Linked DNA regions of Tamandua tetradactyla. The protein of the gene in region 4 purifies or fractionates together with the protein of the main gene of each other region. This does not show direct contact. Links are inferred from orthologs where the notes say so. Each region holds a gene or a part of one and is shown on either strand. Other genes may lie near its edges. The genes, in order: BIRC2, NOL3, tumor necrosis factor receptor superfamily member 10B-like and CASP8.

What was found.
Region 1: the proteins of CASP8 (region 4) and BIRC2 purify together in Homo sapiens (affinity purification with western blotting; 4 studies listed by BioGRID and IntAct, with this or other methods). This does not show direct contact. The link is inferred for Tamandua tetradactyla from reciprocal best matches to the Homo sapiens genes CASP8 and BIRC2.
Region 2: the proteins of CASP8 (region 4) and NOL3 purify together in Homo sapiens (affinity purification with western blotting; 3 studies listed by BioGRID and IntAct, with this or other methods). This does not show direct contact. The link is inferred for Tamandua tetradactyla from reciprocal best matches to the Homo sapiens genes CASP8 and NOL3.
Region 3: the proteins of CASP8 (region 4) and tumor necrosis factor receptor superfamily member 10B-like purify together in Homo sapiens (affinity purification with western blotting; 14 studies listed by BioGRID and IntAct, counting the BioPlex papers as one, with this or other methods). This does not show direct contact. The link is inferred for Tamandua tetradactyla from reciprocal best matches to the Homo sapiens genes CASP8 and TNFRSF10B.

The regions. Positions count from the first base shown.
Region 1 is NC_135334.1:40,475,054-40,482,731, reverse strand, and holds the start of BIRC2 (baculoviral IAP repeat-containing protein 2), read left to right. Parts: upstream 1-4,829; 5' UTR 4,830-4,858; exon of another isoform or gene 4,859-5,111; intron 5,112-6,062; 5' UTR 6,063-7,280; coding exon 7,281-7,678. Other genes in the region: uncharacterized protein LOC143644315, read right to left, coding at 4,479-4,829. UniProt on the Homo sapiens protein: Multi-functional protein which regulates not only caspases and apoptosis, but also modulates inflammatory signaling and immunity, mitogenic kinase signaling, and cell proliferation, as well as cell invasion and metastasis.
Region 2 is NC_135342.1:60,865,130-60,872,415, forward strand, and holds NOL3 (nucleolar protein 3), read left to right. Parts: upstream 1-4,700; 5' UTR 4,701-5,628; intron 5,629-5,740; 5' UTR 5,741-5,752; coding exon 5,753-6,047; intron 6,048-6,211; coding exon 6,212-6,537; intron 6,538-6,630; coding exon 6,631-6,681; 3' UTR 6,682-6,781; downstream 6,782-7,286. Other genes in the region: HSF4 (heat shock factor protein 4), read left to right, coding at 59-134, 318-382, 930-1,029, 1,257-1,390, 1,510-1,737, 2,237-2,342, 2,446-2,511, 2,655-2,724 and 1 more.
Region 3 is NC_135329.1:23,968,151-23,975,548, forward strand, and holds the start of tumor necrosis factor receptor superfamily member 10B-like, read right to left. Parts: upstream 3,016-7,398; 5' UTR 2,583-3,015; coding exon 2,445-2,582; intron 1-2,444. UniProt on the Homo sapiens protein: Receptor for the cytotoxic ligand TNFSF10/TRAIL. The adapter molecule FADD recruits caspase-8 to the activated receptor.
Region 4 is NC_135329.1:175,793,153-175,801,042, reverse strand, and holds the start of CASP8 (caspase-8), read right to left. Parts: upstream 3,006-7,890; 5' UTR 2,935-3,005; exon of another isoform or gene 2,610-2,934; intron 19-2,609; exon of another isoform or gene 1-18. UniProt on the Homo sapiens protein: Thiol protease that plays a key role in programmed cell death by acting as a molecular switch for apoptosis, necroptosis and pyroptosis, and is required to prevent tissue damage during embryonic development and adulthood.

The DNA.
Region 1 (7,678 bases), on a different chromosome or scaffold from region 4:
CAGAAGGTAGTGATAAATATGAACTATGACCATGTGACTAGCTAAAGAAATGAGGACTGTGATTGTATGAATATTTCCTTGTTTTATTATGAATATGTTTGTATTTGTACATAAATATCTTGTTTTCCTCTTATCATATGACAGAAGTTGTATTGTTCATCTTATAGTATTTAAGTCACAGGATATGAAGTTTAGAGTGAATGTTACCTAATGACTTGTACCCTATTTTGGGGAGATGTAGTGCACTTTCGGTTGTTCGCAGGACAGTTGAATATTGTTAGATGAAACATATGTCTGTTCTTGTGTTCATTTGGAAATTAACCTTGTTTCAAAGTGATGTGTTAGCTGCCAAGTTGACAAGGGGAGGAATGTGATGATTAGGTTCTGGTGTCAACTTGGCTAAGTGATGGTATACAGTTGTCCGGTCAGACAAACACTGGCCTGACCATAGCTAAAAGGATATTTCATGGCTGGTTGATAAACCAGAAGGCTAGTATATTAAATCATCAGTCAGTTGACTATATCTGTGGTGATTACATCTATGACCAACTAAGGCAAGTTTCCCATAAGGAGATAATGCAATCAGTTGGGAGGTTTTAAGGAAGAGGAGGGACTCTTTCACTGCTTGTTCAGCCAGCAAGCCCCTTCTGTGGGCTTTGTCCAGACCTTCATTGGAGCAGCCAGCGTCACAGCCCACCCTACAGATTTTGGACTCTTCCATTCCCATGGTTGTGTGAGACACCTTCATAAATCTCATATTTACAGATTTCTCCTGTTGGTTGTCTCTAGAGAACCCTAACACACAGACCAAAAGCTTGAACTTGATAACTATATTTAAGGTGGTTATATAGGCCAACATCTTTGTTCTTAGGAAATGTGCATGGAAGTATTACGTACAACCTACCTTCAAATGTTTAGAAAACTAATAGACATAGATAGAAAGATAAACATAGATCAAGTAGGTAGATAGATAGATAAAGACACAGAGTGATAGACAGAAAAATGTTAAAACTAGTGGATCTGGGTATATAGGTGGTAGGTATGTTGGAGTTTCTGTATGGGTTTTGTGTTATTTTTTCAACTACCTTGCAACTTAGAAATTATTTGGAAATAAAAACTTTAAAAGAATAAAATATACAGTTCACTGAAGGAAATAATTAACATGAAAAGACAAGCCACAGACTTGAAGAAGATATTTACAATATATATAACCAACAAAAGATTTGGATAGAGAATTTTTCTAAAGAACTTCTACAAATGAATATGACAAAAAAAAAAAAAGAAAATGAAATGGGCAAAGGTGGTGAAAAGCAATTTGCAGAACAAAACTAAATGACTAATAAACTTATTTAAGAATGTTCAATCTCACTAGGTATCAGAAACATGCAAATGGAAACAAAATACAAACATTTCAAATATCACATTGGCAAAAATTAAGTCACAATACTAAAAGTGACAAGGATGAAGAATAGTGGCACTACTGATAGGAGAGTAACCACTCCAGAGAGTAATTTGTTAAGATCTAGAAGACTTGAAGAGATGCACGCCATTAGACATGGCAATTCCACATTTAGGTATTGAGAGAAACTCTTCCATATGTGCAAAAGGAAACACAAGAATGATTATTGCAGCATTATGACAAAATATTAGAACAATCTGAATGTCCATTCATTCAGGAGAGTAAGTTGTAACATGCTACTGAAAGATATATGAATGTCTAAAAAAAAAAAACAAATGTTGAACGAATCAGTCTCTTGTTACTATTGAGTTTTTAGGCCTGGGTCTGCTGAATTCAAATGCAGCCTATCAACTTAATGCTTTTCATCACTTTTCCTCAGTTTTGTCTTATTTCTCTAAATATTAACATATGCATCAGACAAACATTACTATGTACTGTTTACTCATGCTTCTTAAGAAAGTTAAACATAAAACCACCATATGATATGACAATTCCACTTCTAGGTGTCTATACCCAAAAGAACTAAAAGTAGGGAATCTATATATTGGAGAGATATTTGTACACCAATGTTCACAGCAGTGTTATTCACAATAGCCAAAAGATGGGAGCAACCTGAATGTCCAGAAGCAGATGAATGGATAAACACAATGTGAAATTATGGTCCTTAAATACCATTTCCCATTAAAGGAACCAGGGCACCTTGGAAAGCTTATCATGGGATGGGATAAAATGTACAAGATGAGCATGGAGAGCAAAGACTACTACTGCTGTATGGAAAGGACTTAAAAGCCAGTATAACTTCTGGCCCATGAACTCCAAAAAAAAAAAAAAAATGAATAAGCTCCTACTAGCATAAGATAAAACAATTTGAAAATAATGATGATAGCTGCAATGAATTACAACTCACCAAATACATTTACATCTCTGAGTTCATGAGATAGCTGTTCACCAGGAATTTTTTTTAATAGTGTAAGGTCATGATTTAATATTATATTCCATTAGAGTAATCATTCAATTCAACATTATTTAGTGACTTGTTGATCCTTTTCTCACTAATATGAACACTATTGTCATCTATCCAATTCCCACATAAATGTGCACATTTTTCTAGCTCTCTGACCTGTACCTTTGTCTATTTGTCCATTTTTGTGCTAATCTAAGATGGTCTTAATTATTATGCTTTATTATATAACTTGGTATCTGGTAGGGCAAGTTTCTTCAACTTCATTCTTCTTCAAAATTGTCTTGGATCCTATACATAAGTTTCTCTACGTAAATGCAATAAATATTATGAATGCAAAAGCAGCAGATTTATACAGCCTATTTTTAAAAATCACTAGCTATTGTACACTGGAAATACGAAAAAAATTAACTGATAAATGGATAAACAGCTAGTAATACTAGATCACAATGTCATACAAGATTAAAAGTTGTATTTATTACACCTGAATGATATTACATACTTTTTTTTAAGGAAAAATATTTATGGCTTTTGAGCTTTGAGATTTAAAATTTCCCCTAAACTGGGCGGGCTGCGGTGGCTCAGCGGGCAAAGTGCTTGCCTGCTATGCCGGAGGACCTCGGTTCGATTCCCGGCCCCAGCCCATGTAACAAAAACGGAGAAACAGAATACAATAAAACAAGAAAATGTTTAAAAATGTTTCCCTTTCTTCCTTCCTTCCTTCCTTCTATCCTTCCTTCCTTCTCTCTGTCTTTCCTTAAAAAAAAAAAAAAAAAAAAAATTTCCCCTAAACTGAGAATATTCATATTTTACTTTTTTTGGTCAGGACAAGAACTAAAAAAAGAGAAATAGACTTGAATTCACAATGAAAAATTCTTGCTATGTATACTTTCTAGATTACATATTTCCCCACAGATAAGAGGAATGTTTCTGAACATCCCAGAAATAATGACTTAGAGCAAATACCCAAATATTAGCAAAAACCATGCGCATTTTGAAAACATTTGGTCACTGAGAGTCATAGCATTTCTTTTTTCCACATCCATGAATGGTTACAAATTCTTTCTTTTTATTGTTAACATTGGGACAGAGACATGTTCTATGAATGGCAGGCAGAAATGACATGTGCAGGAAATGGGAAATGGTTCAGGGTCTTGGAATTCCCCTGCTTACATAATTAAGAGACTTAGTTGTAAGTTTTTGAAATACTTGTCCTTGGAGTTCCCCTGAAAGAAGAAAGCATCTGAATTAATTGACAAACGTCTTGAGATTATAAATTTTTTAAAAATTGGGTCATTGCAATATGACAAATATTTACTGTCTGCCACTGTGTTCCTGGAATTATTAGGGAGCAAGTGAAAAAATGTCCATGCCTAGTAAGACCAAGATTTTGCATTTCGTCTATCACTTAACTATTTACACATTTTATAAAGGGGTTCCGCACCGGTTCGCATACACCATACACACACGTACACACATATACACATGTACATATATGTGTATGCATAAATACCATTTTATTCAAACATTGAGAGAAATTTGGGAGTTAAGATTGGTCTAAAATACTGTTCGCTGCTAGCGATGGGCATCTGAAGGGCACTTTCTCTTTAACGCATATGTCTCCAGAACAGAAAGCCAAAGTTTTAAAAACAAAAGTTACACTCGTCGATTATAAACACATCAAGTGTTCAAAATTAACCTTTTGATGCAGTTCAATTTTCCAACACTTGGCTGGTTTCAATTTACACGGTTACCGGACGAAAAAAAAGACACTAGACTCCATTTCCAAATACAGTCATCTACGAGTGGAGGCGTCAGACTAAGGCAATTTCGCCACTGGCTGGATCATAACTCCTGAGGTGACATGGAAGAAGAGGCACAAAATCACCGGCGCAATGGCGTTGGCGCAGGGTTTCCCGAGACTCAAACGCAACGGAACACGAAAAAGTGCCTCGTCCTCCTCAGAAGGTTGTTAGGGACAGGGAGAGGGAAGCGTTAAAAGTGGCCAAGCCACGAGATGAAAAAGCAAAACACCTAATTAATGTGGATAGTCCCACCTCACGCCGTGGGCTGAGCGCGCAGCTCCAGGTGGACTACCACGCCGGCTTCGCTGTCTCTCTGCGTCTCTCCCTGAAGCTCGGCTAGTCTGAAAACTTCCAGCGCCGCCTGCTCTTCGGCGTCAGGCTTTTTGCAGCAGACCCCTCCGCGGTCGGGAGGCGGTTGACGCGAGCCGGGCGCGCTGACGTCACCGTGCGTTGGCGTAAGCCCTCCAGGGCCCGGGGGGTGGGGGGCGGTTTTAGGAGCGCAGGACGCGAGCCCTGCCTGGTCTGGCTTGGCCTGGCTGCTATCTGCGCTGCAGCTGCCAGAGCCTGAGGAGGCCTCTAAGCAGCCTTGGCGCCGCCGCAGCATCGCTTCCGTCTAGTTGCGCCGGCATCACGGTGAGTGCAACTCTTTGACGGCCCTGGCGGCGCGGGTTCGCGGGAGGCGGCTTGGGGCATTCCGGCTAGCAGGGAGCCACTTCTCTGAAGTGCGGAGGTGCGAGGAAGGCCGAGGCCTGGGGGCTCTTAGCTGAGGGTTGCGGGTCGCAGTGAGCTCTGCTTTCTGCCTTTGACACGGTTTTCATTTAATTCGGAAGCCCTAGCTTCAAGGCATGCAATCGAAAGTGGTTTAAAAAAATTGAGTTGTTTTCACGCAGACTCTGGCCACCGCCCATTTTTTCAGCCCTTGGTGTTTGGCCAAGTTGTTTTCTCTCAGAGGTTTTGCAAGGTTTTAAACTTAGCTTTCGGTATTCCTTAAATTTAAAATATTTAAACGAAGACGGCCCTGTGGTGGCGAGATCTCACATTTCAGAGTTAACAGTTGCTCTCTGCCCTTCTGTAGACAATTGTTTATTGTGAAAAATAACCCCGGAAAATTAATGACTAAATCCCATAGTTTCTCTGTTTTTCCCTTCTGGTCTGCACCCCACACAACCCCCACTCCTGACTGTCTATAGTTTGCATAAAATGGTAAAATCATCAATACAGTGCTCGTCGATAGAAATCTATAATTTAATATGCGATCAGATCTAGTGTAATAAAAGCATTCATGTTAGTGGTCACAATTCCCGAGGCCATTGTTTCACAGGCCATTGTGCTGTTTTGTTTTCTGTGGTTGTGGCTTTGTAATTATAGGAGTTGTAGAGTTTAAGTTTTATATAATGAGCTCCTGATGCATTTTACTCTTACTAGACTAGGCAATTTGCCTAGTCCTGGAGAGACTTGACATTAAAAAATAACATAACTGTCTAATAACTTCTGTGTTCTTGCTGATGGGTATAGTAAAGTCTTTTTTCAACATTATCTGTTTTTTTCACCAACAAACTGTCAGAGATATCCTTAAACTACTAAAAAGTTTTTACCAGAAAAGGTGAGGAGACTTCCCTTTGTGGAAATGTCCGTCTGCGTCAAAGTTGTACATTTTTCAAAGATGTAAGTGCTAATGAGAGGATATTGCATTTATTTAACTTATGAGCTTTTCCAGTTACAACATTTTGGTGACAAATAGCTGGATTCAAGATGTATTGTCTAAAGTATAAATTCTGTGATTCTCTTTTCAATAAAACTAAAATTTTCTAAAATAGCTTTTGTATTTTCTTTTCAGATTTTACAACCTTGAAGAATCTACTTCCCTCAACCCCGCCCCCGGCAATAATAAATCCCATTATGGAAACTCAGACACTATAAAAAGGGATATAGTTTGAGTTTTGTGGAGTATAATTTTGTGTATGAATTATGTTTAAAAACAGAAAGGCTAGTCTGTTGGTAATACAATATTTCTGTTAGCATTTGTCATGATACCGGAAAAGACAAACTGTGACTTTTGATGAATTGATTGGTTATTTACAAAATGAATGATAGAGATGCATGATTCTTAAAGGAAAGATAGATAATTTAGTTTTTACAAAGACAGGAAATGTGAGAAGTTTCTGCTGTTGAAATTTTATGGTTAATTTTTTTTGGCGATATACCTTCAGATAATTTTAGTTGGTAAAGTATAATAAAGTGGTATGCAAAGTTAGTAAGAAATAATAATGATGCTATAGGAAGAGGAATCAAGTATAGAAATATGGAATAATTAACAGTTTGTGAGCTCTACGCAAAATTTATTTCATTTGATATGATACACCATTATAAGCTTAGGTTCAACAAAGCTTGTGAGTGTTGGCTTCCCTAAAAGTTATTAACTGAAGCTTACAAAACCCACTTACGTATTATGGGTTATGCTGTGAATATAAGCTTTGTGAAATTAGTCTTTAGATAATATGGCTATATGAAGACTTCAATTATTTTTGTTTACTAGAATAGAACAAGGTTTTTTTTTAGTACCTTACTTAAGTGCTTATAGGAAAAGAAGCCTGATGCATATCATTTTCCCCTGTCTTTTAGCATAATCAGTAATTGGCCTGATATCCAGGCATTGTAGCTTGTAACCAAAAGTAAATTAAAGGCACAGTTTAAGTGGCTTGGAATTTGGTAACATAAGCCTCTTTTAAAAATCAGGGGGGTTTTAACATATTTTCAGAGGTACATCAATTCTGTCAGGCTATTAAGTTAGTATTACACTAAATTATAGGTAAATAGCACTTGGGTGACCTAAAAAAGTTAACATAATCCCTCAAAATATTAAGGTTGCATCTTGGTACAACCTAGGAGAGATAGTCATTTTGAGTGTGTAATCAGGTGTAAATTCAGTAAAGAAGGTTTAGTGAATTCTAGATAAGTAAGCTATAATTTGTTTCCTTTTTGTGATAAAAATCTAGTCTGAAGAGAAAAATTCATGTGAAGGCTTTTAGCCATCAAAAAGTAAAAGCACCTACTCATGCACAAAACTACCTCCCAAAGACTTGACCCAGGTCCCTCTCATCAAAAATTTGTGAGTAAAATGGAAGATAGCACAATCTTGACAAATTGGACAAATGACAACAAACAAAAAATGAAATACGACTTTTCATGTGAACTCTACCGAATGTCTACATATTCAACTTTCCCCACCGGTGTTCCTATTTCAGAAAGGAGCCTTGCTCGTGCTGGTTTTTATTACACTGGTGTGAATGACAAGGTCAAATGCTTCTGTTGTGGCCTGATGCTGGATAACTGGAAACAAGGAGACAGTGCTATTGAAAAGCATAAACAGCTGTATCCTAGCTGTAGCTTTATTCAGAATCTAGTTTCAGTTACTAGTCTGGAATCCAACTTTAAGAATACTTCTCCAGTGAG
Region 2 (7,286 bases), on a different chromosome or scaffold from region 4:
GGGGGCAAGACTGGATGAGACCTCAGATGCCTCAGCACCCTCCCACTCCCACCTCCAGGCAGAACGAGATCTTGTGGCGTGAGGTGGTGACGCTGCGGCAGAGCCACGGGCAGCAGCACCGGATTATTGGAAAGGTGTTGCTCCTCTCCTTACCTGCTTCTCTATCCGACTCCCAGCCCCCGCCCACCCCACTTAGCCCAGTCCCCCAGCCCCAAGTCCCAAGTTAAATCCCCTCCTGGTGCCACCTGCTGGGAGTGTGCCTCACTAGGCTGGGGGCAGGGTCCAGTGTATGCATTAACCCTTTGCTTCCTCTTCAGCTGATTCAGTGCCTCTTGGGGCCACTTCAGGCTGGGCCCAACAGCACAGGAGTTAAGAGAAAGCTGTGAGTGAGAAAGCCAGAGATGATTACACCCGTTCCCCCACTTCTAGAATCCTCCATCCCCATCCCACCCCACCCCCACCAGGCTCTCTGCAGGGCAGAGAATGGTATTTCTCCTCCAGAAATACCACCAAGAATTCCCTTTTCTCCCTCTACTCTACAGGCTGCCTGCCCAGTGGCCATCTCCCCCAGGGCTACTTATCCCTCAGGACTTTTCCCTCTTTCCCCAACCTTACCACCAGATACTACCACTCCCAGATTCCCCTGCTCCAGGTTCTTTTCTTCAGATCCCTACCCAGAAGTCCACACCTCTCCTCCCCCAAGCATCCCTCAGGAGGTCTGGGCTGAAACCATGCTCTCTCACTCCCTTCCCCCCATCTCTGGGGGTGAGGGGAGCCCCTTCCATCTCCAGCATGTGACTGATGCCCTGGCAACAAGCATCAACTCTGCTGACTTGGCTGATGGGGCCTAAGGGAGGGAGGTGGGGGCTAAGGGGCGTGGGGGCTAAGCCTGCCCCTCCCCCTGCCTATGTCTCCACCACCCTGCACAGGTCTCTGATGCTAGATGAAGGGAGCTCATGCCCTCCGCCTGCCAAGTTCAGCTGCCCCCTACCCAGCACTCTCCTACAGGATCCCTACTTTATCCAGTCAGTAGGTTTCGCTTTTCTCCCCTCCCCAAGGGCACAGCTGGGCTAATGGAGAGGCTGCTCATATGGAGAGACCACACCCCTCCCCCAACCCAGACTCCTCTGCATGGACTGAGTCTCCCCTTCCAGACCTCCCCCCTCCCCCTAAACCTGGTCCTGGTGGGTGCTGGTCAGATTCTGGCCCTCCCTGTGGCCTGAGATCAAGGGCTGGGCCTGGCCTTCTACTTACAGCCACCCCCAGGGACCACTTCGGGACTCAGCAGACCCCACAGAGCGAGTGGACCCATCATCTCTGACATCCTGGAAGATTCCCCATCCCCATCTCCTGAAGGGGCTGGGCTTTCTCCCTCTAGTGGCAGCAGGAGGTAAGAGAGCAAAGGTTGTTCCCTTGGGCTCTCTGGGAGAGGGACTGGCAGCTGGAATGGCTGTGGGAGAAGAGGGGAGGGCAGTGCCAGGGTCTGGTTGAAGGTTTTCTCTGGTGCAGGGAGAAGGGCCTGGCACTGCTCAAAGAAGAGCCGGCCAGCCCAGGGGGGGAAGGCGAGGCCGGGCTGGCCCTGGCCCCAAACGAGTGTGACTTCTGCGTGACAGCCCCCCCACCGCTGCCTGTGGCTGTGGTCCAGGCCATCCTGGAAGGGAAAGGGAGCTTCAGCCCCAAGGGGTCCAGGAATGTCCAGCAGCCTGAACCAAGGGGCCTCAGGGAGGTCCCTGACAGGTGAGTAGAGAGCCCATTCTTAAATGTGAGCCTTGTGGGCCACTTTTGCAGATTGACCAGCACTCACCAGCCCACAAAACTTCCCAGCTTTCCCTGCCTCTTGGTGGCTGAGTGGGAAGCTTGGGTACTTTGAACCTATCATCCTGATATGATTTCTCAGAGTCTGCTTTCCAGGATCAGAGTCCCCTAGGAAATAGAAGGCTTATTAAAGTACAGATTTTCTGTCTCCTGTTCAGGTTAATCAACACCTCTGTTGTAGGGCTCAAAAATCTGTATTTTTAGTGAACTCACCAGGTGACTATAAAGTACATAATAGTTTAAGTGCTACTGATATGGCACTTGCATAGGAAGGGACACTTCCTAGGACCCTAGTCTTACAACCCAAAACTTGTGGGAGTTCCTCTCCTGGCATTTTTTAGATGTTGGGGGATGTAAACCCTAATATATCCCGGTTTCTCAGGGTGGGCCCAGCAGGCCAACAGAAGTTCTTTGTGCACAGGGGGCCTCTGGGCCTGGAGAGTGGGGACCCAAGCCCTGAGGGTCTGCTGTCTCCAATGCTGCTTGGGGGTCCCCCTGAAAGTCTGGACCCTGCAGGGCCCCTGGATGTGAGTACCCCTCTGGCTTGCGGGCAAGAACTTAGGGCCTAGGAGGGTCCGAGTGTCTCTGTGCAGCCTGTAGAGGATACCATTAACTCTGAGCTCCCCTCAGGTGCTGGGCCCCAGCCTCCCTGGGCGAGAGTGGACCCTGATGGACTTGGATATGGAGCTGTCCCTGGTAAGATGCAGGAGGGGCTGGAGATCTGTGGCTCATGGTCATTTTATCTGAGCCAAAGCCATGGCTGGAGAGGATTGCTGCCAGCACCCAGCACTCCTCCTTAGCTCCCCTTCCCAGATGCTACTTGAGGCTGTTCCGTGCAGATGCAGCCCTTGATTCCAGAAAGAAGTGAGGCCGACCTCGCAGTCAAGGGGATAAATTCTCTGGGTTCAGGTAATGGTTGGGGTAACTGGGAGTGGGGTGAGGAGGCCATGACTGGCCTGACCTACCATGATGGGATGAGGATGTGTTTTGGAGGGAAATCCCTTAGTTCAGGCAGAGACTTCTCCCCTCTAGCTGACCACTTCCGAGAATGGGAAGGTTGAGAATGGATGTTTCATCCTAAGTGAACAGAAGGTAGAGTAGGCGGGTCTATCTTTCCCGGAAGAAAGGAGGGGGAGACGTTTCTCCATCCTAAGTATGGCCCCACTCCTTCTAGGAAAGGACCCCGCACTTGGGGCCCCGCTCCTGCTGGACGTCCAGGCGGCTTTGGGAGGCCCAGCTCTTGGCCTTTCTGGGGCTCTGACCATTTACAGCACCCCTGAGAGCCCGGCCTCTTACGTGGGCCCGGGGACCAGTCCCTCCCCTGAGACCCTTTTCACTGTGACGCCAGAGAAGTAGAGGGGCTGGTCCGCGGCAGCTTGCCCTTTAAGGCTTCCTCGCGCCCCCTGGCGGAGGCTGAGCGAAGCCCATCCGCTCAGCGGCTTCTATCCATTCCCCGCGCCGAGCCCTGCACATAAACAGCATTTGTTTTTCTGTTTCCTGTCTCTTTTCTCTACCGACCAGGGAGCACAGAGATCGTGGGTGGTGGGCAATTTTGCATTCGCAGACGCCTCCAGGCTTTAATGGGAAACCACTGTCGAGAGTAGAAGTGCTTGGGGTTCCCGCCCCTAGCCCTTGTAGGCCCGGATCTCCTGCCGGATCCAGGGCTGTCGCACCGCCTCTGCGACCCCCGGGAAGTGAAGGCCTCTGGGTCAGACTCAGTTCTGCAGTGCACCCGCTGTGTAGGACCCTGGGTAAATCGATCCGCTTCTCTGAGCCTCATCTGTGACTGGCAGGGAGGAGGGGGCGTCGAGAGGATGGGTGTAAAGCGCCCAGGTATTGCCAGGCCCGGTGGGCGCGGGCTGAACTTCCTTCTCCCCAGCCCCACATTGACTCATCTGTTGGCATGCACGGGGCAGGGAGGGAAAACCAACTACGCGAATATCCTCAGTCAGCACGCGGGCTCTGAGGGACCGGCTCCCCCAGCCCGGGGAAGAACGCCCCCACTCCCCGCCCCCTCCACCCCCGGGATTCCAGGCAGCCCTAGCCGCCCCACCCCCGCCGCAGCTGCTGCCCCCACTCGGCCCAGCCCTTTCTGCACTGTCATCTGCCCGGCCGAGGCTCGATCCGTGAGTGAGGCCGCCCGCCCGGAGCAAACGGGACCGGGGGAGGGAAGGGAAACCTTGGGCAGAATCGGCGTCCGTCACCACCAGCCGCGCTCGGAGGTCTGTGTGCGCCCCGCCCCTCCGCGAGAGCCTGAAGTGGCGCGGAGGTAAGGGCATCCTTGCGGTCGCGAAAGTGCAGAGGCTCCCGCAGTTTCCCACGACCTGGCAGAGAGGTTAGAGTGGGGGCCGTCGGTCGGGGGCTGGCTGTCTGCTTCTAGGGCCGCCTGACCTCCAGGATCTGACCAATGGTCCTTTAAGGACTGGCTCCGCAGCCAATTGGCAGCGAGGTAACCTCGTTGTTTCCTTACGAGCAGTGAGAGCCTCAGGAGTTCCTAGATCAGCCGGGGTCTCTGCTTCCCAAATAGGACACATTATCTCACTGGAATAATAGGATACATTAGCATGTAAACAATCTAGGGAGGAGTGAGGGAGAAAAGGTGCAATCTGCACCCCTTCCTCTATGCCTATCCTGGGTGGGTGCTGCCTCCTCTTTCTTCCCCACATACCCCACCCCGCCCCCACCCTGTGATGGGGGTGAAAGGGAGCAGCCTTCTTTGAAAACTTTCAGCTGAAGAGGACAGAGGGTCCTGTCATATCTCAGTTCAGTGATGAGGGCATATGCTGTTCGCTGGTGCATGCAGGAAAAGGAACCATTCTTCCTTTGGGAGACTCGGGCATTGGGGCAGACAGCAGAACATTAGAGTCTTAGAGGGTGGGGCCATGGAATGGAGGGAGGAGAAGGACAAGCTTAGGTACAGCATCTGCAAAGGATCAGAAGCACCAGGGCCTTCGGGAGTTCTCAGAGCTGGGAGAGATGGAGGGAAATGTGGACAGACCTGACTGACCAGGGTATGGGAAGTAGTCAGAGCAGCCAGGCCAGATAATCTGGATTCTCTCTGATAGGCAGCGGGGCTGTGAGAGACAGGAGTGGTTAGGGCTAACATCCTGCTAGGTGGGTGGGGGGTGTGGGGGGGAATGGAAGGGAGCTGCATTACAGACTATATTATAGTTCAGACTGGAGCAAATCAGAGTCTAGCTCTGCTGCTTGGTCTCTCTGAGCTTGTCTCATCTGTAAAATGGGGACAATAAATCCTACTCCAGAGGGCTGTCAAAATCACTGTGCTGTGGGGGTGGTGGAATGGGAGTGAGAGGTGCCTAAAGGGACTGGTATAGAAGATAAGGTGACAATGAGGATCCCTGATGGGAGCTGATGGAAACTCAGACTGGAGCAGCAGTACTTGGATGTAACGGACAGGACATGAAGGAAGAGTGAAGGGCAGGAGGGTAATCCTGGTTTCTGTTTGATGACCTGGAGGAGAGATTGACACTTTGATATGCCAGGAGGGGTCTGAGACACGGAGCTGGAGAGGAAGAACTGGCAGACAGGACAGGGGCTAGGACCAAACCCTGACTCCTAGACAAGGCCTCTTAGAGCCTGGTAAGTAGGTGGAGGAAAGACCCCCAAGGTAGATACCACCCTGGGAGAGCTTAGGGGAGAAGAGGAGAGGCGGACTATCGCCGACGTTTAGGGGACCGGAACAGGAGCCTGAGGAGGAGACAGGGAAGAAGGAGTCCCCGAAGCAGGAGGACGACGAGTCCCGCGCGATGGCCTCCAGGTCCTGTGCTGCAGCGCTGTCTGGTCGGAGTAGAGGTGAACTTCAGCCCCAGCAGGGGTGTTCACTGCGGCCCTGGGAGAGAAGACGGGGGCGGGGAAGTCCCTGCCCCACTAAGACCGCCCCACTACTCCTTTTTCCCTCCGCCAGGCTGTCGGGACAATGGGCAACACGCAGGAACGGCCGTCTGAGACGATCGACCGCGAGCGGAAACGCCTGGTAGAGACGCTGCAGGCGGACTCCGGGCTGCTGCTGGACGCGCTGCTGTCGCGGGGCGTGCTCAGCCCGCCCGAGTACGAGGCATTGGACGCGCTGCCTGATGCTGAACGCAGGATGCGCCGCCTGCTGCTGGTGGTGCAGGGAAAGGGCGAGGCGGCCTGCCTGGAGCTCCTGCGCTGTGCGCAACGAACCGCGCAGGCGCCTGACCCCGCCTGGGACTGGCAGCACGTGGGCCCCGGTGAGCGCCTTGGGCAGAGCAGGGGCGGGGTGGGGCCTGGAGAGCCGAGCAAAAGCCCAATTGGAGTTGGTGGGAGCCACTTGCCAGAGAGGAGGGACGAGTGCGGGCGGAGGAAAGCAGGGACGGGTAAATTGAAACTGAAGACAGCGCCCCCTCTCTTCCAGGCTACCGGGAACGCAGCTACGACCCTCGGTGCCCGGGCCACTGGACGCCTGAGGCACACGACTCGGGACCTGCTTGGCCCGGGCTGCCTAGAGCTTCAGACAGCGACGATGTGGGGGGTCCTGAGGGCCGCGAGGAGGTACAATCCGGGATCCCCGAGAACCCCGAGCTAGAGCAGGAAGCCGAAGCCCCCGAAGAGGCTGAGCCGGAGCTGGAACCCCAAGTGGATCCGGAACCCGAGATGGAGGCAGAACCAGAGCCTGAACTGGAGCCAGAGCCTGAACTGGAGCCGGAGCCGAATTACGAGGAGGCGGAGGAGTCGGAAGGTGTGAGGAAGGCTGCCCCAACCCAGAGTGGCCTGGGGGGCAGCAGGCGGGTCCCCATCTCCTTAACTTTCCTCCCTTTATTTTATGGCCTCTAGATTCCTGAAAATCGGAGCACTGACTGGCCCCTCTCCGCTCAAGCTGGATAGGATCTCAGACCCAGCCTGGGCTGCACAGATGCCACAGAGGTTTTGTCTGGCGCAGATTGGAAATGAATAAACCCCAGACGGTCGGCTGGGCTGGGCTCTCCGCGATTCTGGCTCTTTCCCCAGGAATTGGGAGTGGGGTGGGTGGGTGGGTGGGTGGGTAAGCCCATGCCTTGAGTTCCAGTGACCTGGGCACTCCATGTCCCTCCAGGCCCAGCCACCCAGTCTTCAGTTTTATTTCTGCCCTCAGTAGCTCAAGCTACACCCCTGGAGACCCCAGGCATGCACTGGGACAAAAGACTGACCCCTGGTTGCCGCTCCACAGCCCTTTTACCCTCCTGAGCCATTTAGGGGCCTGTGTAGGCAGGCTCCAGCCTCCCTTCATGGAAGCCTCTGGGCCTGGTGCAGAGAGGAAAGGAAGGGGGACTTCTCTCCATTTAAGGAGGGTCTAGAGCTTAGAGCCTTGGGAAGTGCGAGTATTAGACAGGATTATTAGACCTTGGGTAGACAGAGCCCAAACACTTCATTGTAATTGCTGTTTTAATCGTCTGACTTCCACTGCACTGGGAGCTCAGAGAGGGTTTTGGCCGGAACTGGCCCATTGAAAA
Region 3 (7,398 bases), about 150 Mb from region 4:
CCAGTCCAGACTATGACAGTCGGGGATGATGGAACTGATGGTCTTAAACAGTCTTTATTAATCTTATCAATATGCTAAAGATGTGAAGGTAAACAAGAACATGACAAGAATAGAGATGGAAGATACTGAAAAGCCCCAAATGGAACTTCTTAGAGATTAAAAGTACACAGTATATGAAATGAAAAATAAAATGGATGGGATTAACAGCCAATCAGACACCACATAACACCAATGAACGTGAAGACAGAGCAACAGGGATTATTCAAAATGAAACCCAGAGAGAAAACAACTGAGAAAAAAATGAACAGATCTTTCAGTGAGCTCTGAGACAACATGCAGCATTTTAACCTAAGTGTAATTAAGACCCAGGAAGGCTAGAGGGGGCACACACATATCTGAGGAACTAATAGCCAAAAAATTTCCAACGCGGGAATAAACTCTAAATCTATAGGTCCAAGAAATTCATCAAACCCCAAGCAAAAGGAATCATACAGCATTAAATAAACGGATTTTTTTTTTACCCAAGTCAACCCTGACAGTGTGATTTGCCCTCCCACACAAGCTCACACATCCGCCACAGTGGCTCCCAGATCTCAACGTTGAACACATGAAGAAGCTATGGCTGCACCAGGGTCACAAAGTTGGAAAGGGGCAAAGTAGGGCCCAACTGGCTCCAGCCGCCAAGGTCAAGATCTTTTACAGCCTGTCGGAACTTCTAAAGTCAAGAAGTAAGCTCAGTGCTAGGCCTCATCTGATACAATCGTTTTTACAGCCCAAGGACTGTTATCTTCATGTTACAGGCGTGGCTGGGTGGCAGTCAAGCCTCAGCTGACAAAGTTTTCAAGTGCAGAGCTGAGATTCCAATCCTCTGTCACCCTCCCCTGCTAACAGTGTGATGTCTCCTAGCTGATTTGCTTCCAGTCTCAAAACACATATAGGTCCTTGAAAATCTCTAGTAGGATGGAAGAAACAAAAACACAACACTGGGATGCACCATTTTTTACCTCTCAGACTAGTAGAGAATGAAAATTCACTTGTATACACTTGATGACAGTGTACTGGAGAACAATTTGGCAACATCTAAACAAACTTCGAAGATAATTTAACCCGCATACTGAGCAATTATACTTCTAAAGACTTAAACCATTGACAGGAACACGTCAGTACATACAAGGATATCTGCAGTAATGCTGCTGGAATTTGCAAAAATGAAAAGAAAAAAAAGGATATCATCTAAACAGCTATCCATAGGAGAGAACGGTAAAATAAACTGTGCTTCACCCATACTTGCTTACACATGCAATAAAATACTATGCTTTAAAAAAAAAATAAAAAGAGGAAAAGAAATCTGAAGGTATGACATAGAAGAGCAGATGTAATTTTTTCTTGCTTCAGAATTAAGAAAAAATATATAATTGTGCCCGTAAATGCACAGAGAAAGGCAAAACTTATGGGTTGCTGGAGGGGGCTTTGGAATGCCAGAAGGCCTAGGTCTCACATTCCCAAATTCATCAAATTCAGATTTTTTATCTTTGCCACACAGGTTATCCTTCCAATCCAATCTGGAGACAAAATAGACTAAAACTATTCACAAGCTACAGGAAATCTGGGTCTTACCTAATCTAAACTGATAGCTTGAAAACAAAGTCTGTGGTTACATGTGAATACAGAAATGCTATTATTTTTCTAAATTGTTTTTATTTGCTAAATGAAAAAACAATTTCATGATTCTTGTAACCTTGTTTTGGCAATTATTTATTATTATTTTTTAAACTCGATCAATTTCAAATATGTAATTGGCCAGACCTTGGCCAAGTTAACCTAAAAAGATACTCGAAGTTTACACAATTCTTCCCCACGAGTTTCTCAGAACGCTCAGCACTGCATGGCTCAGTCAGATCAACAGCGTCACACCCTGGCTTCCAGAACATGCGATCGCTGGTCGCTTCAAAAGAGTCCCGCACAAGTTTATATCAAGAAATGATTGGAAGAAAGTCGGGCAACTGTTCAACTTCTGAGCGGCCATCTCAGGAAAAAAGAAAGGTGCGGAAGTCGGCGACGAGAAAGTTACTTTCGCTGGCATTAATTTCACCCATTTTGCAACGAGAGTACTCTTTAGAATTTAAAACATTTATCGAAAAAAGAAAGAAAGAAAGAAAAGAGAATCCTTCTGTCGCTCACTTGCAGGGCACCAGACCCCTTCTCGGTTGGCTCAGGACATGACAAACTTCATTGCTCTCGCCCGGTGGGTTTTGAAATCCGCCACTACAGTCGCTCAGCCCGGCGGCTCGGACCCAGTCCCGCCCTCCACTGCGCCGAAGGCCTCGCCCTGCCCGGGCATGCCCCGCCCGGGGCAGCGGGGCGAGACTCCCGCGGGCCGCCGTGCCACCACCGCCCCATTCCCCCACCCCGTGCCCGCCTTCCCGCTCTGGCGGCTAACTCACCGGGAAGACGGCCAGGAAGAGAAGGCTCAGGAGGCCCCAAGGCGAGGAGTCCCGGAGCCGAAGCCTGGCTCCCGATCCGACCCAGGTCCCGACTCGGGCCCCGGAGGCTTGGCGGGCGCTCTGGCCTCGCGGTGCCATGGCCTTCCGCGGCGCCCCTGGTCGCCGGCGGGTCGCGCGCGGGGTTTAAACTCCGGCGATGTCAATCCGTGTACTTCTCTCAGAGAAGAGCGGTAAGCCGTCTGTCCCAGATCGCGGCGGAGTCTATCTGCGGGAATCCCGCCGGATGCAGCGCTTTTTATAGATTGCGCAACGCCAGCGGGGTGACGAGTCAGGTCGCAATTCCAATCAACAGTTTGCCTTGCGGGCCAATCATGCTGGCACCCTCTCTGCGAGCGCTTCCGGGGGAGAAATATGTGGGGATTAAAGCCTAGCCCCGGGGGTGGGGCATCGGTGGAGGGATTCTCCCGCAGAATCTCCCCACCGCGCCGCGGGTGGGGAGGAGCATTCGGCAACTCGCAGGCACCGTAGTCTCGGCGCTGAACCCGAAGGCGCTCAGGCAGGTCCGGATCCAGCCGCATCTGGCTTTCCCGCGCGTAAACCCTGGAATACTGACCTCCCTCCCTCTGCCTCCCGTCCGTGGCCCCCTCACCTCTGTCCCTCCCCTCCATCCGCGGCCGGGCTTCACTGGATCTTGGTTTCACTGAATCCGGAGTCGCTCACCAAGTTGCTCTGTCCTACCGCGGGGTTTCCCGGAGGGGCCTCGACCTCAGCATTTCAACAGCCGGGTGCCAGGCTCCGAGCAAATGCTCCACGAACAGATGTGTGGACGAAACCGAGAACACACGGGATATGACCTGCAGGATCGGACCAAGATTTCTTTGTCTTGACCAACCTGTAGGACTTGGAGCTGTAGGGCTGCACAGTAAAACTAACAGTATTGCAGAAAAGAAAACAGACAACTTCAGATACTAATTTTACCAAGTTATCAAGCGTATTCCCCTTCCCTCTCACACCACATAGCCCACTGATATTTTTCCATTGTCCTTCCCTCGACCATAAAACTGATCACCACCACTCTGTCTTCCTGGGAGCTGAGTTCTATTCTCTCCCCCCTTCCATGGTAGCTATAAAGTCATCTTTGTCTGTTTAAAATTCTGTGGTGCAATTTTCCTTCGAAGGGTTTGGACTGGGTTCACAGAGGCTTCCACACCCTCTCCCCATCACCACTTTCTGCTTTCTAATAAGACCATGTCAGTCTTCTTTCTTTTGCCCTCAAGGTTTTATGCCAATTAAAATGCCATCCCTACCCTACTGCCTCAGCAGCCCCAGGAACCCAAGCCGGCCTTCTTCGGGATTTTCCTTCCCTGTTGGATTCTTTAAAATCTCCGAGAAGCTGAACCTCTGGGGACTATTCCTCACCTGAAACCGAAGGACTTAGAGAGGGATCCTTGGTCTTGAGGTCCTTCCAGCCGTCCCCGCGTACCCACCTCGGTAGCTAACCTGGGACGCGGTGGAGTCCTGTAAACTCAATGCCTCTTAAATCGAGGTCCTGCCTGCCGGGTGCTCACAGAGCGGTTTAAGGCTGGAGATTAGGTGGGAGGGGAAGGCAATCCCAAGGGCGCCTGCAGCTCCAGGCTTCGTCGCAGTTTTACGGGTCGGGGGCCCACGGACTCTACTTGGCTGGCTCTACTAGGCCAGCGCAGCGGAGAGGGCTTCGCCCGCCAACCCCCAGTCCTGGGTCTGACTCACCGACTGTCTGACCGCGCACAACGCCACACGCCTCGCCTCTCAGGTTTCAGCACAGGGGTGGCGTGAGGATGCGCCCCGCTGTGGAGCAGGGAGGGGCGCTGAGCGCTGGGAACCACTCCATCTGTAGGACACCGCTTTTTAGATCTTTGTACTTAATAACACACACACACACACACAAACATACAATTTCCGGGCTCCCCAAAATGTGGTTCAACGAAAAATTCGACGTGAAACACTACGGAAAAGAAGAAGAGTTTTTCAGCTCAACGAAATACGGGGCCAGAATTGTCTCGAGTCTCCGCCAGGACCAATGGACCCCGGGCGCGCCCCCGGCTCCCGGGAGGGGCGCGGCCGGCAAGAAGGCGCTGCGCGGGCCGGGGTTAGAGGGCAGCTCGGGCAGACGACGACGCGGTGGCGGAGGAACACTTTCCTGGTGATTAAGTGGACCCGCGGGAGGGGAATTAGTATCACCCTAGCACGCTTGACCCTCGAGGGCGGAGTTAGGGATGCTCTGCGGGGCGCCTCCACCTGCGCCAGGTAGAGTCGGTGCCCAGCGAGTAGCACGCGCAGTGCATTGTCCGGGGACCCTGCCCTGGGCTATGCGCTGCGGTCCGGAGGAGCTCGCGTGCCCGCCACGGTGAAGAAGACGCACCGTCCGCAACCCCGACGTCTTTCTCGGAGCCCGGGCTCTGGGCTAGAGACTTCGCGCGCATCTTTACAGTCTCCTGGTGACGAACGGGCGCGTGTCAATTTTAAACATAATCAAATTTACCTAGAACTATGAAATTTGGGGGTCCTCATGATTCCCTTATCCGTGCTCCCGAGATAACCTGTTAAACTCTTTCGGGATGTTCCCTCAGAATTCCCTGTATGCATGCAATATGTTTCAGAAAAGAATAGATTTGCACTCTTTGACCTTCTGAACATTGGAGCTTTTTACACTTAAGTTATACCTTGATTATCTTTCCTTTTACGTCCTTGGAAATGGATTCCCCGCTTCTTTTTCTTTCTTTCTTTTCTTTTTTTCCAAATTTTTTTAAATGACAAACCAAAACAACGTACAAACATTCTATACATGGTGTACAATCAATGACTCACAATAGCATCACATAGTTGTATATTCATCACCAGGATCATTTTTTAGAATATTTGCATCACTCTAGAAAAAGAAAAAAGAAAAAAAAAAAAACCTCATACATCACTCCTCCTACTCACTGACCACTAGTATTTCCACCTACCCAATTTATTTTAACCTTTGTTCCCTCTATTTTTTCCTATACTCCTTACCACTCCCTTTCATTGATCACTAGTATTTCAATCTACTCAATTTATTTTAACATTTCCCCCCATTATTCATTTATTTTTAAGACATATTCTTTACTCATCTGGCCATACCATAGATAAAAGGACCATCAGACACAAGGTTTTCACAATCACACAGTCACTTGTGAAAGCTATATCTTGATACCATCATCTTCAAGAAACATGGCCACTGGAACAGAGTTCTACAGTAAACTAAAAAGGGGATAGCTATATAATGCATAAGAATAACCTGCAGGATAACCTCTCAACTCTGTTTGAGACCTCTCAGCCACTGACAAACTTGTCTCATTTCTCTCTTCCCCCTTTCGGTTGAGAAGGTTTTCTCAATTCCTTGATGCTGAGTCCCAGCTCATTCTAGGATTTCTGTCACACGTTGCCAGGGAGGTCCACACCCCTGGATCCCCCTCTTTTTTAACACTTGCACAGAATTTCCTCGGAGCTGGGGGTGAGCTGAGAATTACTGAGAGGCTGGTGTGAAGACTGTATGAGGGGAATTTGGTGGAGAGCTGGTCATTTGGTCGGGGGACTAAAGTTCTCCAATTCCTGGCTCTGTTCCTGCAGGCAGAATGCCTCACGGACCCTTTTCCTGTCCCTGAAAAGTGCCCAGGATGGCCTGCTGCCTGGGAAGGGGCAGGTAAGGATGGACTGGCAGCAGAGTGGCGAGAGGGGCTTCCAGCCCATTGTTCAGCCAGGAGAGATGGCATTCCTAGACTGTTTCACAATCTCAGAATAGATGTAATTTTACAATTCTCTTATGATTCCAGGTACTTCTCCTATCCTGAAGATTATCTTTCCCAACTCAGAATTGTGCAGAAGCCAATACAGGAAGTAGAGAATCTGAATTGAAAACCACACTACCCTAAAGAAACCTTGAATTGCAGAAAAAAAAAGAAATGGTTCAATTTTAGTTTACAAAATGTAAATACTTAGAGAGTAAGATAGGCAGGTTGTCACTTTTTGCCCAGGCATTTAAAAATAAGTATTTGTTAATTAATGACCAACTTACCATGACTTAAAAAGATGATTTTATGAGCAATGAATCATGTTTTCTATCGGGAAGTCTACAGTTTTAGGACTTTAATTACCAGTACATATGAATGGTCTGATAAATTTACTTTTTTTTCCCCTGCAATTTATAAAATTAAGGTTCTCTCTGATAGAATGTTTGAAGTATGGTAAACAGACATCTCTTTCTTCTGTCCTCCCTCCCCTGTTTCCAGGTTCAAAGACATATGTCTAAGTCACCTTTGATTATTCCATATCCATTGTCAGAGCAATGCAGGTGCCAAATACTGTCCATCCCACACCACAGAGCTTCTTTTATTTCCCTTTACCTTTCATTTCATCTGCCAGTATCTGGGCGAGGCCTCCAATATCTGTGGCTGCTGCCACCATTTGCATATTGTTGTCCCTGGTCCCTCCACTCCACTGAACAGTACTCTGGGACACAATCAGCTCCAGGAGAAGGAACTTGCTGTATGACACTCACAGAAAAATGAGAGTTCTGCCATTGGGTGAGTCCATGAGGCTGGGCTTTGAATCTGTCGTGGTTTGAAGCTGTATGTACCCCAGAAAAACATGTTCTTTATTCTAGTCCATTCCTAGTTTATAAACCCATTATAAGTAGGATCTTCTGATGAGGCTGCTTCAGTTAAGATGTGACCCACATTATACAGGATGAGACTCAATCCTCCTACTGGACTCCTTTATAAATAGGTTGAATACAGAGAGACAGAGAAAACCACGGAAGCAAGAAGCTGAAATCAACAAAACTCGGAAGAGAAGGGGAATCAGCAGACGCTGCTGTGTGCCTTGCCATGTGGCAAAGGAGGTAAGAATTGCTGGCAGCCAGTCATCCGGAAGGAAGCACCGCCTTGCTGAT
Region 4 (7,890 bases):
TCACCCCCGCCTTCCTCAGAGGACGCACTTCCTGGTTATATGTTAGGCAGTCTTCCAAGGAGAACTCGGCAGAGAACTCAACACAGCTTAAAAAAGAATCAGGAAAAAATCTACAAATTCAGACAGCAGAGTTCTTAAATTCTCCATATTAAACACTTACTTAGATACCATTTGCTCAAATGTCAAAACTGTGAATGTTCTCAAAATATCATGTAGAAAGTTTTACAAATTATCTGCTCTTTGTGGCTTTAATTTTAAATTGCTTTATGAAACTTCCTGCACAAACAGGTTTTACAATGATTTTATGGATACTTTATTTAAATGTGCCTATGGTTACGCTAAGATATCCATTTTTGGTGGTTCTAAGTGTATTGTTTGTTTTCTTAAATAAAAACAAAAAAAAGAAAGGCAAAAAAAAAAAAAATCAGAGGAGACAAACGAAGGGAGACCTGTAAAATCATTATCTTCCAGCAGAAAGACAGCATCTGATCATCACCAAGCATGGGAGAGAATTCCTCAACAGAAAAAACAACAGCGTAAACTTTATTTTGAAACCGCAGAAAGAAACAACTCACCATGAAGCAAAATGTTCAATGTTCAATCGAACTATTCAGAAGAGGGAGATGGCAGACAATTATTAATTTGCAAACAACAACAACAAAACAGCCAGGAAGCTGGAAGTTGCTCTATTGAAAAGCATGACACTGGCAACTTTTAGTATTAATAACCCCCGTAATTTTCAAAGACAGGCTTGAGCCCGTGGCAAGTAAAATGCCCTTCTCTCTTGAAAGGGGTTAGGGGAGGATTTTTCCCTTTGTGCTCTGATCCAAATCTCAGCACCGAAGCCACAGACTAGGCCCCTCCAACCCCTTCAGTTTTATCTTAAATCAAAGCAGCCTCAGGCTGAAAAGTGGAGAGAGTTTACACAATAAAGGGAAGGTCTGGTCCAACCCTTAGGGGCAACAACCCTTTAGTTCCCATCCCCAGGGCCCTTGGGATCAACAGTGACCAGCAGAGCTGGGAATGATGGTAATACTGAGGTGGGTCCCCCAGGGCCCTGAACCCCAGGCCCTCCTCTGCTTTTTTCAACCTCCACTCTCCCACTCTCTGCCTGTTTCCTGTTTCAATTTTTAAAGGGGTTTCTGCCTTTTCTGTTTTCATGTTTTATATTTTTAACCAGAACACCGATATTCTTACAATAACTATATATATGTTGCACCCTTTACATGAATTATCTCTAATTGTTACAGCAATACTGAGGATTGCTCTCCCATGTTATGGATGGGAAAACTGAGGCTCAAATAGTCACCTGGATTCAACTCAGTCCTACTGGGCTAAAGACAAGGATTTTTCTGCTGTAACAAACTCCCCTACCCCCAGTCCCACCCACCCCAACACAGGATTTGAAAAGAACCATGTGGACGGAGGAGCAACAAATCTAAGTAAAGATAGAGTAATGTAGGAAAAAAGGTCAGAAATTACTGGTTCTCTGTCACCTGAGAAAAAGGAGTTGGTTTAATAATGACAGGAGCTAACATTGATCAAACTGTTTGTGTGCCAGACATACCTAAATAGTTCTTTTGCAACTGCCAAACAATTCTCAGAGGTGCATAATATTTTTATTTCCATTTTATAGCTGAAGAAACTGAGGTTTAGAGAGGTTGAAACCCTTGGCCAAGCTCATTCAGCTAGTGAGTGACAGAATGAAGTCTGCCAAACATGAACCTGACTCTCAACCTTATTGATCTCAGAATTTAATGTAGAGGATTTTAAAACGCGGAGCACTGGAGCTCCCACATGAGCGGAGCTATGGGAGATATGCAGTTTGAGCAATTAGAATAGTGCCTGGACTTGCAGAGTTCTCAATAATTATCCACTACTATTGTTATTTTAGCTAGAAGGTGGGTGCTAATTATTCGGGATATTGCACAGATGAGGAAAGGAAGTTCAAAGTCACTCAGCTGTTGAGAGGCAGGGCAAGGACCTGACCCTAGGAGCTTCCCACCACAGGGCACCTGTTGAGCCCTGTGCACTACTGCCTCCCAGCAGGCAGAGCCTGGCAGAACTGGCCGAGCTGCTGGAAGCATCTGGGGACAGTGCAAAGGAGACTTACATAGAAATCTCAGATATGAGATTTCATTTTAAAAGATACATCCGAAACATTATCACCAGAGATACTGCAAAGATCACCAGTGCTAGTTTTCCTTGGTTTGTTTTGAATGCATTATAAGGCCCTTCCCCCACAGGAAAGTTAAGCTTTCTTAAAGGGCCCCTATTAAGTCCCGGGTACTTCCTTGAGCATCAACATTAGATCTTTAAGAGAAGCTGTTATTCGGAGTGAATGAGTTTTCTACTGTGGGGAGTGCCAGCCGCGCGCGCTCCAGCCCCTTTTCCTTCCTGGGTTTCTCTCGGCTCCCACGGGTCCCGGGCACCCGGGGGCTCCGCCGCCAGCAGCTTCCCCTGCGCCTCGCCGCGCCGGCCGCTGCTTCTCCCCCCTGGGCCCGGGACCGCGCCGCCGCCTGCAGCCTCCCTGCACCTCGCCTCGCCGGGCTGACCCGGCCACCTCTCCCTCCGCCCCCGCCCCTCCGCCTCTCCCCCCTCGGCCCGAGACCCGGCCGCCGCCTGCAGCCTCCCTGCGCCTCGCCTCGCCTCGCCTCGCCTCGCCGCGCCTCGTCGGGCCGGCCCGGCCGCTCTGCCCTCGCCCCCGCGGCGGAAAGTTAAGTTTGACGAGCCGGGAAGAGGAGCCAAGGACCAGAAGAGGAGGATCCACCTGGAGCCGAGGAACCGGACACGGCGGCGGTTCGAGAACTTGTCCTGGACAATTGCAAATCAAACGATGGAAAATTGAGGGTTTCGCAGCTGAATTTGTGAATTTAGAGTGCCTCAGCGTGGCAAATATAACCTTGACTTCAGTTTCAAATTTTCTCAAACTACCTCAGCTGAAAAAACTTGAGCTTAGTGACAGGAGAATCTTGGGAGATCTGCACATGGTAGCGGAAAAACTTCCGAATCTCACACGTCTGGACGTAAGCGGAAATGGTCAGAAGCTGTCAGCACCTTGGGAGCTTTGACCCAGCGGGGCTGTCTGGGGCGCCGGGGCCTGTGGCTGGAGGTCCCCGGCCCCAAGGGCTGCGCGGGAGCCTCAGGCCCGGCTCGCTGACCCACCCCGACGGCCGCGACCGGAGGCCCCGGAGCCCCGACTCGGATGCCCAGGTGGACGGTGTGGCCGAGGACGAAGAGTTTGACGATGGAGAGGATGAAGATGGAGAAGGGGGAGAAGATGAAGATGAAGTCAGCGGAGGGGAGGAGGGAGATTCTGGACACGATGGAGAAGTCGATGAAGGCGAAGGGGGTGAGGATGAAGATGAAGACAAAGAGAGGAAGAAGCGGGAAAGGTGAAAAGACGTAGAGAGAAACAGACGATGAAGGAGAATACTATTAAGACTTCAGATAACCTGCAAAAAAAGAACTGTTCAGTACTGGTTGGACCACTCTTTTGGATTCGGTAGCTGTTTTTTTTTTTTTTTTTTAAAGGTAGCTGTGATACAAACCCTAGAAAACTCGTCCACTCAAAGAGCCTAAGAATAGTTCCTACGGCATTCCCCCTTCCTCAGTCCATCTTAGAAATCTACTGCCAAGCTCAGGGGGTCTCACCCCAATAAAATTGTAAGCGTTGTGAGGTTTTCATGTGAGCCTTTGCTGTAGCATGGCTAGCTGCGCAGGGGATTCCTAACCAGTTACACTGGTTACACTGAGTGTGTAATAGCACTTTTACTTTCTGTACAACAAAGAAGATTTGTGAATAAAATCTTAACTTTTGGGTCTGTTAAAAATTTTTCCTCCTGTGGAGATAAGCCATGAAGAATACCAGACAACAGTGGAAAACAGACAACTGAGGGGGAAGTTGACTGCCACTGCCTAGGAAAAAACAGACCATTTCTAACAATAACGAGGAAATAAACATGTAATGAAAGATCTGTACAAAATGCTTTAGAATAATGTCATCCAAGTAGATGTGTGCATAGAATTGGAAACATCTGAAAACTCCGACACTACCGAACTGTTGCTACTTCAGATTCTTAACTTCTGCCTTATAGTTGACTATTCAGAAGGCCCAACTGGGAAGCTTCATTCAAAATGGCCGAGTTTAAACTTTTCATGTAGCATAGTATCCAAGTGAAGATCCACCCACAGTACTATATGAATTATTTAAATCTACCCATAGTCTATATTTATTTTATTTTTAGGTATAAAGAATATGTCTTTAGTAACCATTATTCTATTTAATTTTTAAGTTTTAAAAAATAATAAAATAAAATAAATGCTGACAATGAAACAAAAACCCCAATATTCGTCTTGCTTTCTTAAGCTGTATATAGCCAAACTAAGGGCCAGGCGGGTGCTTTCCCCTGTTTCACACTCTGGCCTCCTGCCATTGGCCCTGCCTCCTGCCCTAGACTATTCCTCCAAAGAGTGGTGAGGGAAGGGAAAAGAGTGCAAAAACAGAATGGCTAATGACTACACTAACCATCTTGACTTGCTTGAGCTCCCATATTATCCAAAGGAGGACTGAGTCAACTGGGAATCCAATGAATTAATTCCAGTTTGACATACCCACGATCCCTTGAGTGCCCAGGACATTTCCGCAGCTATAGCAATGGCAAGTCTCCCAGAAAAGAAACAATTGAAGCTAGCTACAGAAAAATCCACTGGCAAGCATCCTACCTCTGTGGTATCTGAACTGGCTGGCCGTCTCCAAAGACACTCCCGTTAGCAAACATCCTGGCTCTGTAGTGTCTGAACTTGCTTGTATAAAACTAATTGGAGGGAGCAGGCCACAGTAGCTCAGGAGGCAGAGTTCTCACCTGTCATGCCGGAGACCCGGGCTCAATTCCTGGTACCTGCCCATGCAGAAGAAAAGAAAAAAAACTGTTTGGAGGGAGTGTCTCAAACATGTATAAAACAAAGTTTATATCAGCTATAATTTTAAGGGCTTTGTTTGTTGAAATGATTAGACAATCGTAGGGATATAAAGAAGTTTACAATCACTGATCTCAAATATAAACTCTGCAACTTTTGATAGCCAACACTCACATCTCTACTTTCCTACAAGAGCCCATACCACTGATCAAGAAAGGAGGAAACTGAGATCATTGTTAGGTTATGATCACAATAATCATGTTACCGTTGTAGCTTTTCCAGTATTTTCTTGATGGTCTCAATATGGAGATGGTGAATATCCTCCCTGTTTTTGCTTCACTACATTCCCATACCTAAGAAATGGGGTACCTCAAACCCTAAGGACAAGCACCAAGAATCACTTTTTCTCCACTGAAAGCTATTCAGAAGCCTAAGCCAAATAGATATTATAATAGATATTCAAAAAAAAGTCTTAAAGATGTCTCTAACAGTTCATGCATTACTAAGTAAACATTGATTAGTGCCTAGGACATGTTTATAGTTTCATGAAATGAAAATAAAATGTCCTAAAATAAATAAATATCAAAGAAGTTAGGTTATAAAATTAACATTCCTTTGTAGCTTACAAAACTGAGATTCCACTTCTGGTTTCTGAATGAGTCACCTCATGCGTGACTTGACTTGCTGAGAATCATCCAGATCTGGCACAAATCATCTTGATGGGACCTTGCCCAGGAGAGCTGCCTGCCAGAGCCCTAAAACTGTGGGTTCATCCGAAAGCCTAGGAGCTCAGGTGTGATGGGTTAGAATTCTGTTTTGACTCTCAAATTCTGTTGGCAGCAACACGTTAAGTGTGCTTGAGTTGCCCCTTGGAAGTGCCAAAGAGATCCAAAGCTGAGCAGAAAGTCTTTTGGTCTTTACCTCTCCTTCTCATGGCCCAGCTCTGAGGGAGCCAGAGTGAATGCAGGATGAAAAGACAAAGAGAAAAAAATCTCCTTGACTGCAGGACCCCTGGCTGGGAGTCATCCCTCAACTAGGGATGAGGAGTTTGACTTGTAGGTAAGACAGATGTTTTAAAATGCCTGAAGCAAATTGTTAATGACTGAAGATGAGGTATAATTATCTAAATAGCATCCTTCTTATAAACAAAGGACGGCTGAAAGCTGTGATCTGCCTGATGTCTAGTCGGGGCTATCACAGAAGATTTGTGAAATCATTATGGAAAGTGGTGATGCGAGAAAAATAAAGGCACTTTCTGTTAGTGGCCAGGGAAGTTCAGCCCAATGAATAAACACTAGTTCTTTTTTTTTTTTTTGCACCTCTTAGTCTATCACCTTGGTTTTCTAGAAGCCTTCCCTGCACCTTTCCACTCTCCAGCCATATTCCCAGGCTCTGAGCTACCTCTCTTGTGGTGTCTAGACCTCTCCTCAGGTTTGTTTGTTTGTTTATTTGTTTGTTTTGGGGGGGTGCATGGTCGGGGAATCGAACCCAGGTCTCCCACATGGAAGGCGAACATTCTACCACTGTGCACCCCTCTCTTTGAGTTTTAATATCCATTTCTTATTTCCCCTTCAGGGCAATGTCGTGGCCTCCATCTCTCACTAACTTTCCTACAAGTCCCTGTAAGGATTCTTATAGGTTCTCAGACACGTGGTGCCACTCATTCTCCAGGTCAACCACGAATTTCTCTGTTTAGTCCTTGACTCGTTTTTCCAGTTCATTCCCATTATCCTCATGGTCTCATTTGGTGAGAGGAAACCGTGACAGTATCACGACTTGGAATTCTTTTCCTCAGGTACGTGGACATCTCCTTACAGGGAAGTTGGGTCCAAAAGGAGATGCCTGGACCCAGTGCTCCTCGCAGACCACCTCTCCCTGGAGCTGCCCCCATTTTGGGTCTGTCTGGTAGGTGTCTTTTGTTCCTTCCTAATGTCCCACCTTCACCAGGCCTTTCACACCAAATAGAAGCAGTCATAGAAGACTTTCTGGAAGAAAATATTAAACAGCAAAATGTTAACAATGATCGTCTCGGGACCATGAAATCACAGTTAATTTTTGTCTGTGTTTTGCCTTCTTAAATTATCTTTATTTTAATATTTACACACTACCTATATTTTGTAATCTATTCCACAAATCTTACATCTAAACATATTCTTGACTTGTAAAATAAGTATATTATAAATTTAGTAGACATAGCCAAAACTTAGTTCTTCCTATCTTTATTTTCTAATATTCTTCTGTTAATGTATATTCCTTCTGGTAATAAAAAGTTTTAATTAAAAATGTTTAAAGTGAAGACAGATTTTTATGACCATCTTGTTCCTATCTTGAAGGCCAAAGTGTTTAAACACCTGTGAGCAGGTAGTCATTGTGTTTTATTTAGGTTTACAAGCCCCTGGCATTTTTGTTTGTTCATGGCATAATGGTTCATTTTGAAACCATAAATTTTGAGGGTATTCTTAATATTATCACCCAAACTAGCACATATGGACACTTGTTATTCTTCTACTAAAAATCAGGAGTCACAGTCTTCAAACATTTGCGGTGCGAACTCATCTGATCCCTGATGAAACAACACCACGCAATCTCAACATGGCATGGCCATTGTGGAACAGAAGATTCAGGAAGATCTTCTCTTACATATGGGATTCCTCATCTCAGTCCCATATGCAAAATTCAAACTGGGTCAGATATTAAATGCTAAAGTCTTGTTATTTCTTCCAGATTAAATCCCTATGATATGTCTAGTAAAAACCCAAGAATAGTTTGAATCACTTTTTCATTCCACAAATATTTGTTGAGCACCAACTATATACTAGGCACTGTGCTAATGCTAAGGACAAAATTACAATGAAACTTTATATTCTGATTGTATAAAAATCAACCCAGGAAATATGTATTAACATAAATTCAGTCTTTTAGTAAAGCATATATTTTTAAGCAACCAAAGAAACTTGCCCAATAACAGAA